2 linked regions of the Notamacropus eugenii genome follow. The protein of the gene in region 1 purifies or fractionates together with the protein of each later gene. This does not show direct contact. Links are inferred from orthologs where the notes say so. Each region holds a gene or a part of one and is shown on either strand. Other genes may lie near its edges.

What was found. Proteins that work in one complex are often made in the same cells at the same time.
Region 2: the proteins of FYB1 (region 1) and LCP2 purify together in Homo sapiens (co-immunoprecipitation; 6 studies listed by BioGRID and IntAct, with this or other methods). This does not show direct contact. The link is inferred for Notamacropus eugenii from reciprocal best matches to the Homo sapiens genes FYB1 and LCP2.

What each region holds. Positions count from the first base shown.
Region 1 is NC_092875.1:421,214,856-421,218,605, forward strand, and holds the start of FYB1 (FYN-binding protein 1), read left to right. Parts: upstream 1-1,422; 5' UTR 1,423-1,507; coding exon 1,508-1,576; intron 1,577-3,750. UniProt on the Homo sapiens protein: Acts as an adapter protein of the FYN and LCP2 signaling cascades in T-cells. May play a role in linking T-cell signaling to remodeling of the actin cytoskeleton. Modulates the expression of IL2. Involved in platelet activation.
Region 2 is NC_092872.1:401,764,697-401,768,446, reverse strand, and holds the start of LCP2 (lymphocyte cytosolic protein 2), read left to right. Parts: upstream 1-1,059; 5' UTR 1,060-1,255; coding exon 1,256-1,333; intron 1,334-3,272; coding exon 3,273-3,335; intron 3,336-3,750. UniProt on the Homo sapiens protein: Adapter protein primarily involved in signaling pathways within T-cells, as well as other immune cells such as platelets, mast cells, and natural killer (NK) cells.

The DNA of each region.
Region 1 (3,750 bases):
CTACAGTTTAGAGTAGTGGTTGGTACCTCCTCCCCTCCTAGTATGCATGCCAAGTTTATACTGTTAGGCTTCTATAATTCTAGATTATTCATCAATTTCTTGAAAGTGGGTTTTGCTTTCAGGGGTAGAAAGTTCAAATTTTAGGAGTTTCTTTCATTCAAGTTAAGAAAGTGATTTTACCCTACTGTAGTTTCCTTGCATGAGACTGACAGCATCAGATTTGTCCTTTAGAAATATCAATTTGGCTGCTCTCTGGAGGATGGATTGGAAAAGGTCAACAATGGAGACAGGAAGGCTATTATAGCAATCCAGGAGAAATGATAAGGTATGAATTTGGGTGGAAACTCTATGAGCAGGAAGAAGGGCACAGATAGGAGATTTATTGTGGAGGTAAAATTGATAAGACTTAGCAAATGATTGGAGAGGGAGGGACAAATTAGTGCCATTCACTCAAGTTATTAGAATGAGGGTTCCCTAGGTTTAAGGAATTTGAAAACATAGAAGAGACTTGATCAGTTTGTCCTACTCGTTTCAGTTCCTTCATTTGGTGGTCATTATCTGTCCAGATGATTGTGTGACAATCTCCACTAGGGAAGGAAAAAGTAAATTCATATAAAAGAATTATGTGTTCAAGGGAAATTTATCAAAGAATATTCTTCACAGCTAGCTGGAGATGGGAGTGCGTTGCTGCAGGCTTCCAAATCTACAACTTAACAAGGGCAAAGGCATTGGTGGCTCATTAGAGGCAGCTAGGTAGCATAGTGGGCAGAGTTCCAGACCTGGGATCAGGAAGACCAGAGGTAATATTATTTTCTAATGGCTTTAATATGAGGTCTACTTGTTTTCTTTAACCTTAAGTAGACTGTTTTGAGCCTCATGAGTCTCTGTGCTTGTAAGGGGAGTTGGTGACCAATAAAATAGGTGATATTTAAATAGTGCTTTCAAGTGCTTTGCAGAGCAAGCTCTTTACATATATTTATCAGCTCTGATTCTCCTAACAGCATTACAAGGTAGATAGGTGCCAGAGATATCAGGCCCATTTTGCCAGTGAGAAAACTAAGGCTCAGTGAAGGGTTAAATGACTTGCCCAAAGTCCCAGAGCTAGGAAGTTAATTTGACTTGCTTAGTTTATTACCATAGTACATTCTTCCCAAAGACACTTATCTTAGCTCATGAAGCCAGGGCTATGCATACGGCAATGCTGTATTTCAGGAATTGTCGGTGTACATACATGAAAGCCTCTCAGTAGAAGTGACTGACCTGCAACATATTTCTAAGACTCACACTCTTTGAAAAGGTCTTACTCACTCATGTAAAGGAATAGGGGGAAGGGGAGGGAGAGTTTCCAACTTCTCCTTTTGAGATCTCTAATGTAAACAAACAATGAAAAGACTATAAAGAGTGCAGTAGTTTCTACTCTGATGTGCAAGCAAAGGCTACCTATGTTGACTGGGCATGCTCAGCTCTGACAGTTTCAGTTCTCAATAAGGGATAAAGAGAGGAAGACATGAGAGTGAACCAGGACACAGCTGATCCTAACAGAGCCTTGAACTTGAAAAGCAGGGCCAGGATAAAGGTAGGGGGGTACCTGGGAAAGTAGTATTAAGAATGGCTGGTATTAGGCGTTTTCATATCAGCTGACCGGCTGAGTGAACTCTGTACCCAGTGTGTCTCCGCTCCCCTCTGCTTCTCCACTCTTCACTATTCAGTTTCCCACCTGGAAATCTTTCCATGTAATTTAACAAATTATATGAAAAAACTCATGATCTTCTGATGAATAGTCTGATTCTTTATGCTTTCATCCCTAACAGGACTGTGTTTATTCTGTCCTTTGGGTTGGTTGTGGGCCATATAGTTCGTACAAAGAAAGAGAAAAATCAGTTCCTTAGGGGTGAATAACCAAGCTACCCTGCCCCTGCATGACTTCTTAAAGTTAATTTAAAACTTCCTGGAACGCACCTCACCTAGTTGGGAGTGAGCTAAACACAAAGCTGCTTTGCAATGGTTTAGTATCTTTTCTGTATTACTCTGTTTCCAGAGACCCTAGCAACTTAGCAGAATAATATAAGATGGCATTTGGTCAAATGGAGCTTAATAAAAATGTGTAAGTGCAGGAAGACTGTATGTGAAAAGGAGAATATTTGTGTGCCTTTGGCTCTCTCTGTATCTGGGAAGCGGATGACAGGGTAAAGGGTGGAGGTTAGAAAGACAGTAAAGCCAAGCATCCTGGCAAGATCAGGGGACCTGACTTTCATTCCAGCCTGTGATCCTGACTAGGTATATAATCTTTCCCAAGTTACCCGCCTTCTTCTGAACCTTGGTTGCTTCATCTCTGAAATGAGAGAATTAGGCTATTTGATCCCCCAGCGCACTTTCAGCTCTGATATTCTGTTTCTGTGAAAACATACAGTAGCTAACCCAGTGTTGAGCGCATGATTCCAGTTAGACTTTGGACCAGGACAAGATAGGACAGTGGGTCCAGGACCACATAATCAATCAGTCAATCAATATACATTTATTAAATGCCTACTATGCGCCAGGGGGGTTTCTTACTTAACTTGTAGTGTTCTAAATAGTCAGGGGTGTGTGGGCTGGGGTAGGACGGTGAGAAAATATCAGAGAGGATTTTGAGGATTGTGAAAGGACTTTAAATGACATCAAAAAAAGACATGTAACCAAGCATTTGGCAAATATTTCTTGCATGCCTACTACACGGTAGGTACTATGGAGGCTAGAGAGAAGTATAAGAGATGAACATTGCTTTTGAGTAGATATTAACTGAGCATTAAATGTCCCTGATGTTACAATATTGAGATATATGATCATTTTTGCCTTCAAGATGCTTACAGTTTCATTGAGAAAATGAAGCATACCTAATAGAGTTACAGAATCTCACAGATAAAAGGTATCCCAGAGGTCACCTAGTTCAATCTACGGAAATGTAGAAATCCTCTGTATAATGTCTCTAACCAATGACATCTCCTTGAAATTCTCCACTTAGGGTGAATTTATTGCTTCTTAAGAGAGCTCATCCTCTTTTTAGGTGTCTCCATCAGAATTTTTTTTCACTATACCAAGCCTAAATTTGTCTCTTTGAAACCTCCAGTCCTCTCCTAAGTCTCTACTGAGACCAAAAAGAGCAAGTCTAATCGTTTTCTAGATTTACATTCTTTCAAATACTAGAAGAGATCAGTCATGTCCCGCAAGACTTCCTCAAATCTCCCATTCTCCAGGGAAATAGGTCTAGTTCCTTCAAATAACTTTGGTACAGAAGGGAGGAGAGTAAATAAGTGTTCATATGCGGTGTATTATGTGCCAGGCACAGTGCTAAGCGCTTTGCGAATAATATCTCATTTGCTTCTCACAACAACCCTACAATGTAAGGGATATTATTATCTCCATTTTATAGCTGAGGAAAATGAGGCAAACAGAGGTTAAGTGTGTTGCCCAGTGTCACATAGTAAGTGTCTGAGACTTAATTTGAACTCAGGTCTTCCTGACTCCAGACCCAGAGCTCTATCTACTCTATCCACCAAGCTGCCTTAACTGAACACTCTTCAATCCCTTTCCCATTCTGCCTGACTTCTTAAAGATTTATTCCAGTCTGTTTATGTCCTCAAAATATAATATCTAGAACCAAACCCAAAATTCCAAATGAGTTTTGACTGGAGCACAGCAGGGCAGAGCCATCATCTCTTTCATCTCTCATCATTATGACTGTATTAATATAGCCTAAGATTCCATCACATT
Region 2 (3,750 bases), on another chromosome or scaffold:
TCACTGACCAGTGCTGACCTACTTTATAGGGCAACAGACAAAGAAGACATATTGCCAGCAATAGCCTCACAACTTTATATTATCTCACCATTCTATCTCACTGCACAGTTGCAGTGGATATTTACAATTTTAAACACAAATGTTTATAGTTTTTTTATCATTATGTAATGCTGTTCAAGTGTGGTGAAGATCTTTAAAAGTCATGAGCCTAGGAAATAGAGATTGTTATGGCCATGGATCCTGGGAAAATAAATGGTAAGACTTAAAGGTATTATTTTAAGTTATTTGTGAGAGGATTTGGGAAAGCCAGCTAGTTTTTTTGCTTTATTTCACCATCTTCCCACAATTCCCTTGAAAAGACATCTCACAGTTGTAGGCACAGTACCTGGCATATAGTAGGTAATTAATATGTGCTTACTGATTGATTAATTATCACTTCTCAGAAGTCAAAGGCATCTCAAATTATTATAGGTAGGATGTTCCTTTGATAAGTCCTTGAAGAGAAACAGAAAATCATTAAAAACATGCAAACACACAAATTTCTCTGCAGATTTGTTGCATCTATCACTATTTCAGGTGAATTCTCACAACAGATTCTTATCCAGCAAGTCATTGCCTAGCAGGGTCAAATGTCCTTAAGCATGTGCTAATAAGTCTGTATCTGTGTTTTTTGGCTTTCTTTGTATCCTCAGAACTTGGTATGGTTCCTGGCACTAAGTGGATGATTATTGACTAACTGTCCTCTGCACATGTATGCATGCATATACCTAAGTTTTATCAGAAAAAGACTCAACCAACTTGGCATTTAAAAATATGTTTAAAGATTTAGGCCCTTTAATTGCCCCTCCCATCCAGACCGGGGAGACAATAATTACAGCTGAGACTCTTTCTAGTCCCTTGGGAAATTACCAGGCAAGCAGATAAATATGTGTTCCAAATTTCAATACCCCTGCCTCACCCCCCCACACCCTACAAGCTGAACTTCCTTGTTTACTTATTTAGAACCCAGCAAAGGAAGTGGTAAAGGAAACGAGCTAGCTGGTTTTCTGAGAAGAAACCATATTTGTTCGTAGAGGAAGCCGTTGGAGTCTAGGCTACAACTGCCTTGTAATGCAGACACCAAGTCATCTCATCTTATGAAGGAGAACTAGGTGCTGCTGGAAAACTCAGAATCGCTGACTTTCACTATTGTCTCTGTCAATGGGTATCCCACTCATGGCCTGAGTCTGTGGGTCCTCCAAACAACTAGACAGAAATGGCTTTGAGCAATGTACCCTACCGGTCCGAGGTCCTGGGCTGGGGTCCTGATGAGCTGGCAGAATACTTCAAGAAGGTGAGTTTTTCTTTTTCTTTCCTTTTTGGTGAAAGGATCTTTCCCCTGGAGTGCAAAAGGATGAGAACTGCTTCCCAGCGGAAAAAATTACCAGATGATCATGGTCAGGCTTTTAAGATAATCAGTCATGGGTCCTTTTTTCCTTGAATTCTAGGCTTGGACTGGATTTGATTTCTGAGAATTCCTGAGAAATTTCTGAGAAATCCCTAGCCAGCCAATCCCCCCTGATAATCTTCTATTTGATTTGACATCATACAAATGTCAATGCAAGGGAATGCTCTCTGAAGTATTCCAATTCTCTTCTTAACTGAAGACTTTAAAAATCATTCCTGGGACATGGGGGATCCTAACATTTCAGAGCCCAAAAAGATCATCCTGTTCAATGTCCTAATTTGACAAATGAAGAAATGAGGCCCAAAGAAGAGAACAGATGACTTATATAAAGCCACAGAGTTAATTAGTGGCAAAATAGGTTCTAGTAGCCAAGTTTGCTGAGTTCTAGTCCAGGTTTCTAATAAGCTGTGAGGGAATGAAAGATTTAGGGGGCCAGGTAAGGACAGAGAAGTGCATATTCTGGGTGGGGGAAATTTTACTCCAGGGATCAGTGAAGGTACTGGTAACAGCTACTGGTGACTCTGACCTTCCAAAATATGGCAGCCTCTCACATCCAGCGGCCAAAGCCAAGTAACAATGAGAACCAAGTAATTTTCAAACCAGCCTTCAGGTTCAAGGTTTGGGAGTGATCCTGGAGCCAGCAGAGTTATTAGAGGCATGAGAGAGTAGAACCTGGGTTGTTCTAATCATAGAGAGGAGAGCAGAAGAGAGGAGGGGAAGCAACATTTCCTAATGAATCAGTAGGAAAAGACTTCCTAAGACTCCCCCTCAGAAGAGAAATTCATTGATCATCAAATGAGGTAATATATGTAGAGCATTTTGCAAATATTAAGGTGCTCTACAAATGTGAGCTGCTATTACTCACCTCCCTTAATTCCCTAGATAGGAGGGCCAGGAAAATGGAGGAGCTTCATCTTCCTGTCTAATTGCTTCATTGGTTTAGTTTTTCTTCCCCAACCGAGTAGCAACCTTGAAAGATGGGACTACATATTCTGTTTCTTGGCAATCCCCTTTCTTACCTATCATATCCCACAAAGTCTATGGGGCAGGAGCTCTATATTTTTTGATTAACTTTCACTGAAGAAAGTAGAATCAAAATGACCTCTAAGACCAGAGTGGTCCATAATCCATAGATGAGGAACTAGAAGATCTGACCTCCACCTCTACCCATAACTTGCTATGTGACATTGGACAACCTTCTTCCCTTTCTGGGCCTTATTTTTCCAATCAATAAAATGGGAGAGAGGGTAAGCTCAAATTTTCAAAATCCCTTTTATACATTTCTTTTCTGAATGGAGCTTAATGGGAGCAAGATTTTTGCTTTCTTGACTCTTGTTGGTAGGACTCTCAGTTTACATCTCTAGAATTAAAGTCGCCTAGGCCTAAACCAGCACTATGCAAAGACCCTTCAGTTACTAACAATAAGTTAGAAGGATCCAATATTATTTTCCCCAGAATGCAGGGATACCAGACATTATCAGGCAAAGTCCTTGAGGACGTGAAAGCTTAGCCAGAAAGTTCAGTCTTAAAGAGCTAGTAAGGCAGTGATGCCAATATTCTATCTATGACTTTATGTGATAGCAACCTCTTTCTTCATGGACTGGACTTCCAACCCTTTGCAATGAAGAACTACCCATAGCAGCAGTCTGAAAGCTTCTTATAGCAATCTGAGTGGTGGCAAGTCTCCAGCTTTGGGGGAAGAGAGCAAGTTCTGTAGCCGATTCCCCCATTGGAAGGCTCCTAAGGTGATCTGAAGATGGAGGAGGGGGTAGCAAAGGACAATTCTCTCCTGCTGATGACAGTGTTCTTCCCTTTGTGTTGGCAGCTTAACTACAAAGACTGTGAGAAGGTAGTGAAGAAACACCTTATAAGCGGTCCAAGGTTTCTGGTAAGTATGGCCAGTTACGTAGCTAGATTTCTCTTTGAAATTAGAATATCTGAATGCTCTTCTCCCTGCTGCCCCACCCCACTGGTTTCACAATACAGTGATCCTGGACCAAGCTGAGGCAAAATGGAGAAGTAGGAAAATTTTGTTTTCAGTGCCCTCATCCCAACTCCACTCCGAATCAGTATCATTGGTTCAGTGCCCAAAGTATGCTCTCACTCTCTGTCAATCTCTCTGTCTCTGTCTCTCTCACTCTCTCTGTCTCTCACTCTTTCCTACTCTCCATCTCTCTGTCTCTGCCTATTTGTCTGTTTCTGTCTCTGTCTCTGTCTCTCTTTCTCTCAAATTCCACTTTCAAATCTTTCATTCATACTAAGGTATAACCAACTGATAATGACTAAACCAGATAGGTTCTAGA